3 linked regions of the Coturnix japonica genome follow. The protein of the gene in region 3 purifies or fractionates together with the protein of the main gene of each other region. This does not show direct contact. Links are inferred from orthologs where the notes say so. Each region holds a gene or a part of one and is shown on either strand. Other genes may lie near its edges.

Evidence for each region.
Region 1: the proteins of POLR2E (region 3) and RPAP2 purify together in Homo sapiens (affinity purification with mass spectrometry; 4 studies listed by BioGRID and IntAct, counting the BioPlex papers as one, with this or other methods). This does not show direct contact. The link is inferred for Coturnix japonica from reciprocal best matches to the Homo sapiens genes POLR2E and RPAP2.
Region 2: the proteins of POLR2E (region 3) and INTS6 purify together in Homo sapiens (affinity purification with mass spectrometry; 3 studies listed by BioGRID and IntAct, with this or other methods). This does not show direct contact. The link is inferred for Coturnix japonica from reciprocal best matches to the Homo sapiens genes POLR2E and INTS6.

What each region holds. Positions count from the first base shown.
Region 1 is NC_029523.1:12,306,919-12,310,485, forward strand, and holds part of RPAP2 (putative RNA polymerase II subunit B1 CTD phosphatase RPAP2), read right to left. Parts: coding exon 3,505-3,567; intron 3,150-3,504; coding exon 3,061-3,149; intron 901-3,060; coding exon 865-900; intron 33-864; coding exon 1-32.
Region 2 is NC_029516.1:152,151,211-152,154,777, forward strand, and holds part of INTS6 (integrator complex subunit 6), read right to left. Parts: intron 2,892-3,567; coding exon 2,766-2,891; intron 2,339-2,765; coding exon 2,184-2,338; intron 1-2,183. UniProt on the Homo sapiens protein: Component of the integrator complex, a multiprotein complex that terminates RNA polymerase II (Pol II) transcription in the promoter-proximal region of genes.
Region 3 is NC_029543.1:2,008,991-2,013,123, forward strand, and holds the start of POLR2E (DNA-directed RNA polymerases I, II, and III subunit RPABC1), read right to left. Parts: upstream 2,840-4,133; 5' UTR 2,761-2,839; coding exon 2,704-2,760; intron 2,631-2,703; coding exon 2,456-2,630; intron 1,767-2,455; coding exon 1,651-1,766; intron 1,379-1,650; coding exon 1,298-1,378; intron 1,151-1,297; coding exon 1,092-1,150; intron 942-1,091; coding exon 863-941; exon of another isoform or gene 615-862; coding exon 549-614; 3' UTR 536-548; intron 259-535; 3' UTR 1-258. UniProt on the Homo sapiens protein: DNA-dependent RNA polymerase catalyzes the transcription of DNA into RNA using the four ribonucleoside triphosphates as substrates.

The DNA of each region.
Region 1 (3,567 bases), on a different chromosome or scaffold from region 3:
CACATATTTTCACTTCTTCTCCAGATTGGCCACTGTAACACAAAACACAAGCCATCAATGAAGTATGAAATGGATGTTACGTGAGATTAGAAAATTATTATATAAAAGAAAGAGAAATGGAACCTTGTTCCTGTATAGAAAGTGTATACTTTTTTTTTTTTTTTTTTGCTCTAGAAATCATCTTTAAACTCAGAGTTCTAATGTTTTGCAATTAAGATGGCAAGTTTAAATGCTATTTAGAGAAATTTGTTCCCAGATGCTTAGTGGCAGTTAGAATAGTAAACAAGTTGTTACTAAAGACAGACTTAAGTTCCAATTTAGTATGAAGAATTTTAAACTATTTCCATTTTAAAATATAGATCAGTATCTCAATATACACATACACGTAGTAACTGTAAATCAGTAGGCCAGTAGAGCTTGTTTTTGGCATATTTAAGTTTGCCATCTAATGGCTGGATGTTCCAAAAGAAAACAAAGTCGCCATATGCGGCAAGGTACAGAGAGATGACAGAGTAACGTGAATTCAATTGAGCTGATATTGGTGTTTTAGAATAGGAAGTGCAGAAGTTTTCATCACCTATAATTGGTACACTTTCTTCATAAAGAATAGATGGTATAAAATATTTAAAGTACAAACAGTGTATTTGTTTCAGATTTCAGCAGGATCAATTATGACACATAGGCCAAGAGCAGCTGTACACTAAATCATACAGGTCAAACACGCTAGTTTAGAATCACAAAGGAAAAGAAATAAGACAAATAACCCTTTGTCTAATAAAGTCTTTTCAAAGATTTGCCCTTTCCCCAATATAATGTTAATATTTCTAACTATAAATGCATATAACAAATTATTATTCAATGTACCTCTGCCCCTTCTTCAGCAGCTCTATGTCTGATGGTCTGCAAAAAGAACATAAGGAATGATGACTTTTTTTTTCTGCTAAATCAGTACCCTTGAAATGCACAAACACAGAAAACACATAGTTGGGGCTGGAAAGAACCTCTAATGATCTTAGTCCAACATCCTTTGTTCAAAGCAGGGTTAGCTGGAGCAGGTTCATACATTCACATTCAGAGCATAATTTGTGCGGGCCTGTAGCATTATACATTTAATAACTTATCAAATCATATAAATGTTAGTTAGAAAGGACCTCTGGAGGGCTCCAATCTGACCTACTGAGACAGTGAGACTGTTACCAGCAGTAGATTAGATCAGCCACACCTTCTTTATGTTTAAATCTTGAGGATTGAGATTTCAGAACCTTTCCGCATGCACTGATTTGTTCCACTGCTCTCTTAGAGCACACCTTTTTCCCCAGTGTTAATGTAAACCACTGATACCATAATTTATGGCCAACATATTTAAAGTACAAACTCATTAAGTTTTTTGATAGAAACCAAGAACAGTTTGGGTCTGTAGCCTAGGTAATTTTTTTCAATAAGTGTAGACTTTTTAGATCATCCCTTGGTTTCCTCTTCCTCGAACTAAACATGCTCAGATCCTCATAGCTCACAAGGTCTCTATAGGAAAAACAATCTTCAGTAGTTTGCAGAAAAAATGCTCCAAATTGTTATAGGAAATAGGAATATTCAGGATATCTTCATTTGAGATGTTACTTGTTTAAAAAAAATAGACTCTTAAGTTATAGTGGGCTAAGAAAATGGAATCTGAAGGTTTCCATAAACACTAAGAACTGTTACTGAACAGATTCTGAAGGATTTCTTCCCAAATTTCTAGCTGCAGTTCTGCTTCATTTCAGTTATAAGGTAACATCACAATGCTAATTAGTTTATTCAACACTGGCTATTGAAATCCATACCTGCCTTACGAATGACAGAGAACCTTTTAAGCATGCCCTGAATGTAAGTCAATGAAATAACTCCTTAAACTTGGACAGTATATATATAAAAAAACCAACATAGCAGATGTAAAAGGATGAAAGTTGCATTTTTCATATAAATGAACTGAGTCTGGAAAGTAAAGGTGGTAAGACAGTGAAACTATTAATTCCAAATAATTACTCTTTAAAGTTTTAAATGGAGGTTTTTAGCTTTCTCCATCAAGAGAATTTCAGGTATTTTCACGTGTAAATGTGTATCAGTGTGTGCATATATAATGTTTATGCAATCTGATATTACTTTATTATGTTTGTTGGTTTGTTTTGGAAAATATGCCCATCCCAGCATGGATAATTAACTATGTCAAACATCAGAACTCCGCTTTTTATGGTAACAACAGAGATGTTAGAAATAGTTTCTTTAGAGAGAGCAAAACAATACCATGAATACGCAGATAAGCTTATTTAAATATTTTACAGTTTTACCTAATTCCTCAGATCAGGCTGCTTAAAGCCTCTCCTCTCACTGACCTGTGTTTCATATAAATCCTCCTACCATGAAACTGAGCTCACACATATAAATTCAGATTGTTTATTCTGTTGAAAGCAAGGGTACTTGCTTGGACAATGAAAATGGAATGAGCTGAACCTTCTCTAGGCAAGTATTTATTGTTGAGCAGTGACACCCAGTGGCTCAATTCTTTGTTTGCACACCTATGTTTCCTAATTTTTTTTAATATATTAAAGCACAGACTATGTAACCCTTACAAAATGTGTTGCAGTAGTAACAGAAAATAGGCAACCTAAAATAGCAGTTTTATGTGGAATAAGGAACTTCATTTTGCAGACTTTCAGGCTAACCTCTGAAAACCTCTTGCAAGGTAAGATGGATTATTCCTTTATCTTACATGGCTTGTAAAAATCCAATCACAATAAATACATTTTAAAATTAATAGGAACTCATTATTATTTAAGACTAGTTTGCCCTCTAAACTAACACAGTCAAGTCTGTTGAGTAGTCATTACCAGAACTGGGCTGCATCAATTACAGTAATCCATGTGGCAGCAACACTTAACATGAACAACACACTAACTTAACATCACTTGTCTCTGCTTCAGCCTGACCATTTGGATGTACTGCAACTAATTAATTTGCGTTGCAGCTTGGACTAAGAAAACAGTATCCTTGAAATGAGCCACAAATACATAAGGTCACACTTACATTTCTTCTTCTCGCATCCATACTGGACTCTTGGAAATTTGAGCTTCAAAATATTTAGATGCTTTGTAGCAAAAATTGCTGCAAAAGCACTGGAAATAAACGATGGAAAATATGATTAAAGACATCTTCAGTAGTAATAACTAAAAAAAACCAAATAAAGCACCAAAACACTCGAAGAGCAATTCTGAACCCTGTAAAATGGCCATACAGTTTAAAAGACATGCAATAACATTCAGGGTCAGCAGAACTTTTTTTTTTTTTAGTTTTCAATATGACTCTTAACATTTTGGAGATGGAAACACACTACTTACTTTATGAAAATGATTTTCATGAGATACACATGCATTAGTTGTGATTCAGTCCATTATATGAATGCTGTTACAAAATGCATTTGTGATGTGGAGACAATATTAAATACATTCTAAAAACAGCTTGTTACCATACCTTTCTTTCAGTAATATCGTAAACTCTGTTAGTTTTTGTTGAAATCCTGTACTTCTGTTTTGG
Region 2 (3,567 bases), on a different chromosome or scaffold from region 3:
TTTCAGTTTGGGCAATTTAACTGTAATCTTTTTATTAATTACATGGAAAACACCTTTCAATCTCAAGTTTCAGATATGAGTTGATAATGTTTGACATTTCTTTTGCTGAATAAGGAGGTGGCAAACGTGAAAAAAGTTGGAACCATATGCCTTACTTTGAAGGACCTTCAGGAGAGGAACTAAAGCTTTTATACTTACCTATAACCTCCTCCAAGGCTACTAGAATCTGAGGAAGATCACACCTGGGAAGTCTCCTTCCATTTAGTCCCTTTACAAGAAGTCAACTAATAAATACGTAAGATGAGCTATGGAAATACATGGTTTCTTGGACCTTCCTACCACCTCACCTTGAAAGTAATTTTTCCTACAAGTTTATAAACTTTAGTCTCTTCCTTTTAGGATGAGCCAGCCAAATGTTATCTGTCCACAGAGCTGGTCTTGCCTTGAGTATCTCCACTCTGAGGAAGGTGTACTGTCCAAGTGCACACAAAACAGGAGGCCCACTCAATTGAAGGAACTGCAATTCTCTTGAAAGAAGATGCCTCCAATAAATAGTTGTGGCGGAGTTTCTGACCAAGCCATGAAGCAGTTATACTAAGAATAAAAAGGCTGCAAAAGAAGTTGAATGCTAAGACTTGAGTAGTCCAATAAGTTCTGACTGGACAGCAAAACTATTTTTTACCTCAGAGCAGTGAGAGCAGCCATTAACACGTTGATGTATCAACAGAATCATAAGCAGAATTTCACATACATTTAAGAATGCCTTGATTGTACCATCTACATTACATGAAACAGTTTTGAGGTAGGGCTACATCAGATAAATCCACAGTGGATCAGGGGCAAAAAAAAAGATGTAACTACAAATCCTCAAGTAAACAGGATGTTAAGTTCTGGCACTACGTAGACATAAAAGTCAGGAAATACAAATTTTGAAACACTATAAGCATATGTAGCTCCCTCTCATTGCATAGGGAAGGTTCAATTGGGAATTCCAATTGATGCCTACAGGAATTTAGCTGCAGGTGCAGTAATCCAATGTTTTGTGCAGTTATGAGAGAGGTATACGTGCTACAAGTGAGCAAAGTATTTTCTCACATCTTCTTGCCATTTAGCTTCAAGTTTTCAGTGATTTGGAACCACAGTTCTTCACTTGGCAAGACCTATTTTAGCAATATCAATCAAAATCTGCAGTAGCATCAAATCGTCAAAATTTTTCACAGTAAAAGGAAGCAGATACACCACTGATAGTGATTACAAGAAGTACACAGGGCAGCTTTCCCACAGAGCAGTTTTTTCAATATCCAGTGCACTGGCTCTTTGCTTTTTAAACAACCACAAGATTTATTATGTTAGCTTGCTTTATTGTTCATGGAATGAGGCAGATCCCAGCAATACCACATCTACAAACTTCACTAAGATTTCATACTTGCATCACTCTGCAACACCCTGTATTCCAGACTAAATTTTGCAAACAATTTTCCTGAGCAGCTCAATGATCTAGTCAAGCTACTTCGGTATCAAAAATCAACAAAAATCATCATGAAAGACAGGGAAGAATTATACAATTGCACAAGTTTCACTTTAATGATTTTCAAAGATAAGTAGAAATAAATATTTTATACTGAAGACTAGTTTTCTTACCATACAAAAGGCACTGGCATATATTATTTATAAAAACAAGGACAAGGAAAACTAATTTTGTAGACAGACCCTTTAAAAAAGACAAGTTTCTCTACTTAGGATAAGCTAAAAGCACAGTTACACCTAACAGTAGATGAAATTGCATTCACCAGCTACAGTGCAAACAGCACTATCTCAAGGATACAGAACTGGTAAGATCATACACCTTTCTATTAACATCATCTGTTAGGTAATAAAATTTAGTAGTCCATTACCAGACTAAGTGCCATCTTATTTCTGGCGTGGTACTTTAAGAGAGCATAGACTAGGTTGACTTATCTGCTACAGTCACTTTCTTAATGCTTCAAAGTGAATACCATGGGTTTTTTTTTTTCATGAACAAATTATCTAATAACAGCAATAGGGATTTTCATGTGATGTTCCTTAGTTCACAGAGCATCTACAATAGCTCAAATAAAGCACATCTCTCAAGACTTAAAAAATAATTAGACAAGAAATTCAGGAATACTCCCCCTTTTGTTTTATCTAACTTCAGTACTTACCAGAGTTGGCGAATTCTGATCTGGCCAAAAAGATTCAGGAACAGGCCAATGACCTATAGGAACCCCAGTTTTAGGGTTTGGTCTGACATAAATGAGTTTGTGACAGCTGTGCCAAGGCTGGGGTCCAAAGGGCCTACTTATATCCATCTGTCCATCTAGAAAGGAAAAATGCTTTATAAAACAAAATAGCATTAAAACTCAAAAATTTAGCAGCTTCTGTGATGAGCTTAAGACCTATGTTCCCAGGGACTATACTCCTTCAGCTGATATTTTCAACAAACACTCATGCAAAAAAGTAGAAACAATGAAAAAACAAGTGAGCATTGAGTGTTTACAGAACCACAGTTGAGAGAACTACTGGGAGCTCTTCATAACCATTTGACTGCCTTTGTCCTCCTATCACTATTCCCAGTTAACCTTCATATCTCATTTAGAATGAGAATTCAGAACAGCAGAGTCATATCTACTATTTTAAATTGCATGAGTTTTCCTTTGGTTTTTGCAATTCTTATGTTAATTTCACTGAACTATACTGATATCATCACTGTCATCAGATATCAAAGTATAAAAGGCATCAAGTACCATCAATTGGCGAGGGATCTGGTCCAGCTTTTTCAAAATTTATTACCACTCCACTTTGCACTTTTTGCACCAATGATTCAAGACACTGATTCAGCATTCTTGGAGAGCATACACAGTATGATCGACCTGGAACAGAATAGCCAGTGTTAAAGTAGCTCAGTGTTCTGCTCTTATTTCAACAAAATAGTTACAGATGTTACACTCAACAAAATAGATACAGATTACTGATTTGAAGCATCTGCCAAACACTCCAAGCACCAAGGCAGCCTAGTAAAGCAGTGATAGTGCTACATGCATCTTATCTGAAATACCTGAGTTCTAGCCCCTTAATGACATAACTCAAATTCTTGGGTGAATCCATGGAAAATGGGCTCCCCCTTGTGACAGACATCAACACAACTGTCTAAAAATTTCCGTCAAAGTACCACTTGCACAAGCCTACATTAGCCAGGAAGAAGTTGAATCGGTTCAGTTTCTTTTGGAATGATTTTAAAATATCTTCTGCTTGCTTCCAACCTAATCTCCTGCAATGGATCATAAGAATCATCATGTTTTAGCATGTGATGTAATGAAAGCATTTTACAACGGAATTAAAAAGATAATGCCTGAATTTGAATATGATTTCTAAGAGATAAGAATTATGAAAACAAGAAAAGCAACAATTCTGCAGAATTACTCTGCATATTGCACTGCAGAAATCCTGCACTGCATTGTGTATTCTCTGAAAAAATATCTTAAACATTTCCCATACTTTTGGTTTGCTTTGATTAAAACACGACAGAAGTTTCATAGGATTACAGAA
Region 3 (4,133 bases):
TGAGAGAACAGGGCAGCAAAAGCCTCTTCCTGCTCATTTCTTCCCTGTGTCATTCAGTTGCTTCGAGGTGTTTTCATGGCGTTCCTGATTGAAGCAGAAGGATTTGCAGCAAAATCCGTGCTGGGAAATGAGGAACTGGGACAAGGAAAACAACTGCAGGGGGGCAGCAGGGACAGAGAACTTCCTCAGCCATCGAATGCAGACAGCTGAGAGCTGGTGGTGGGTGGGAAGATCAGATGTCACAGAATTCTTTCACAACTGGAAGAAATAAGTCAGGACGTGAATGAGCTCATGTCTCCCTCAGCAGCTGCTCTCAAAGCAAAGCCCTGCTGCTGCTCTGAACATTGAGATGTGCCTTCAGCTGTGATACTGAGGCACCAAACCCTAGTATAGCTTTGCTCTGATCCATCCCATACAGTTCCCTTCGCAAATCAGGAGGGAATCCTTTCCCAGAGCCAACTCACTTCAAGTCACCCCTAGAAAACCACAGCATAAGTTTAAAGCACTGCCCGTAGATGGGGATCTCACACATTACCTGAGAGCTCTGATCACTGCACCAGCCTGTAGGTGATGTAACGGCCTGCGGTCTCACTCGGTCTTATGATCTTCACCACCTGGAAGGGCAGCAAAAGGAGCAATGGGGGATGGCTGGTGTTACAGCAGCTGGTTCAGCAGGAAGCCAAGCCTGGCCCCAGGGCTATCTGCTGCCTTGCACACATCTCTACATAACCCATAACGTTCAGAAACAAAAACACTAACAAAGAGGAAACCTTTCCCATCTCCAAGCTCTGACACACTGTGCTGCAGCTCCCCATCCTGCCTGCAGGGCCCTGCTGTTTGTTATCAGGCTATTTGCTCTTACCTGGCCTCGCTTTATCCCGAAGTATCGGGCCACAGGATCCCCAGCCTGGATCCTGGGGAGTTGGTTCTCCCTCAGCTTACTGCATGGAGTCAAGGAGGAGCTCTGTGTCTGCTTGTCCTGAGGCAGGGCACAGCTAACAGAACATCACACACTCAAAGGAATCCATTTCTTGCCCAAGACAAGCACTCATCACACCCTGACTGCAAGGGAAGGACCAAACAAAGGATACTATCTGGCCAGCAGCTCGGTTACTTCTTCTTTTGTCATGACAACGTGCTCTGGGACCAGCTGTAAACAGGAGAGAGAAAGAGAGATCATAAGAGTCTGAGAAAGCAACCAGCTCTGCATAGCTGCAAGACTTGGGGGGAGGAACAAAGCTCTGGTGGGGAAACCCAGCACAGGGCAGGGCTGGGAGGGCCGGCCTGAATCACTCACCTCGTGTTCTGTGATGTTGATCAGGAGCTCCTGCTGTAAGAACTGCTCCAGGATGTATTTGGGAGCCATATCGACCAAGGACTGGGAAGGGAGAAGCACATCAGGTTGTAGCACTGATATGAGACAGTGTGAGCTCAGAGATGCCCCAAGATGAACAGCAGCAGGAGGGCAACACGGTGTCTGTGCTCACATTGATATGGTCATATGGGCAGAGAGGAAACAGATCTCTGTGCCCAACCAGCACCAGCTCAGTGCACTCAATGTATAAGCCCAGTATTAAGGCACAGAGCCTGAACTCTGCCTTTATGGACCCAGCACAGCTCAAAGAGCCCCGGGGCCACATCACACTGTACCTGCTTTGCCGATGGGGTCATTCCCTGCTGCACCACGATCAGAGCCCGCGTGATGTTCTCCTCCTGCATGCGCTGGCAATACATCTTGATGGTTTTAATGCCGACTTTGGGTTCCTCTGAGGGAGGAAAAGAGCAGGGTGAGATTGAACCAGGAGCACCACCAGACCCCAACCTGACCCCAGCCCAGTTCTAACCTGGTCCCAGCCCAGTACTAACCCGGTCCCAGCTCGGTTCTAAGCCAGTCCCAGCCCAGTCCCAACCCAGTTCTAACCCGGTTCCAGCCCGGTCCTAACCCGGTCCCAGCCCGGTTCTAAGCTGGTCCCAACCTGGTCCAAACCTGGTCCCAGCCCGGTTCTAACCCAGTCCCAACCCGGTTCTAACCCGGTCCCAGCCCGGTCCTAACCTGGTTCTAACCCAGTTCTAACCCGGTCCCAGCCCGGTTCTAACCCGGTCCCTACCTGGTCCTAACGCGGTCCCAGCCCAGTTCTAACCCAGTCCTAACCCGGTCCCAACCTCGTTCTGACCCGGTCCCAGCCCGGTTCTAACCCAATTCTAACCTGATCCTAACCCGGTTCCAACCTGGTTCTAAGCCGGTCCCAGCCCAGTCCCAACCCAGTTCTAACCTGGTTCCAGCCCGGTTCTAAGCTGGTCCCAACCTGGTCCAAACCCGGTCCCAGCCCGGTTCTAACCCAGACCCAGCCCAGTCCCAACCCGGTCCTAACCTGGTCCTAACCCAGTTCTAACCCAGTCCCAACCCGGTCCCAGCCCGTTTCTGACCCGGTTCCGACCCGGCCCCGTTTCTCACCGGGGAAGAACACGAACATCTGGTCCGTGGGATCATCGTTATGTGCCACCAACACGGTCAGGTCCGTTCGGCGCGGGCGGCCTTCGCTGGGTTTATCCCCGAACTGAGCTTTAAACTCCTCCAACGTCTGATCCAACTCGTCCTGAGTCACCAGGTAACCGCGGTCATGGCACAGCTAAAGGGAAATACAACATATGAGACCTGAAACCGGACCGAATCGAACCGAACCGAACCGGGCCGGCCCGCACCTGCATGATGGTCTTGCGGATCTTCCACAGCCGGTACGTCTCCTCCTCGTCGTCCATGTTGCCTCCTGAAGGACCCCACGAGGCTGCCCGCCTCAATGCCTGTCCACAACGAGCAGGCGGGGCTGCCCTGCGAGGGGTCCTTGACCGCGGGGAACGCTGGGAGATGTAGGCGGGGTGGAATGGCGGAAGGACACCACCCCCTTGTTGACACTGCAGCAGCCTCGCTGATTTGATTGGTGGTTTCGCCTGTCTATCACCCAAGGGAGCGGCTCGCATTGCGCAACTGCAAGAAGTGGGCGGTGCCTTCGCGCGTCCTAATCGCTGATTGGTCAAAGGGGGGGAGAGCGGTGGCGGGATGGGGTGGGGGTGGCGTTGCGGGCGGGCGCTGCTGTGCGGGGCGGCGGCGGCGAGAGGAGCGGGGCGGACAATGGTGAGTGGGGGGGGACAGAACAGAACCGAACCGAACCGAACCGGGTCGGTACTGGGGGGGTTGGGGGGGTTCGGAGCCGCTTTGTGACCGCTGGGCCCCGCAGTGCGCGCAGGCGGATGAATGGCGATCGGCCACCTCCATCTATGACTTCCACGCCACGGATATCGACGGCCGAGACGTGGCCTTGGAGCAATACAGGTCTATTAGATATATATATTATATAGACATTATATAGACATTATAGAGACATTATATGTACCATACAGCAACACAGCAATGGGCTGTATTATATACCCCCCCCCCCATTTTACCCCCGCAGAGGTTCCTTTTACCCCCTATTTTACCCCATTTTACCCCATTTTTACCCCCTATTTCACCCCTTTTACCCCCTATTTTACCCCATATTACCCCATATTTTACCCCATATTACCCCTTTTACCCCCACAGAGGTTCCTTTTACCCCCTATTTCACCCCCTTTACCCCCTATTTTCCCCATATTACCCCCACAGAGATTCCTTTTACCCCATTTACCCCCACAGAGGTTCCTTTTACCCCCTATTCTACCCCATTTACCCCCACAGAGGTTTCTTTTACCCCCTATTTTACCCCATTTACCCCCACAGAGGTTCCTTTTACCCCCTATTTTACCCCATTTACCCCCACAGAGGTTCCTTTTACCCCCTATTTTACCCCTCCAGGGGTTTCGTCTGCATCATCACCAACGTGGCTTCCAAATGAGGAAAGACTGCAGTGAATTACACTCAGCTTGTCGACCTGCACGCACGATACGCTGAGAAAGGGCTGCGCATATTGGCCTTCCCATGTAACCAGTTTGGGAAGCAGGTGGGCACCTCAATGCAAAGATATGGGGTTGTGTGGGGTTTACACGTGTGATACCTGTTTTTCCCCCCCCCCAGGAGCCTGGGGATGATGCACAGATCAAAGCCTTTGCGGAGGGTTACGGGGTGAAGTTCGATATGTTCAGTAAAATTGAGGTCA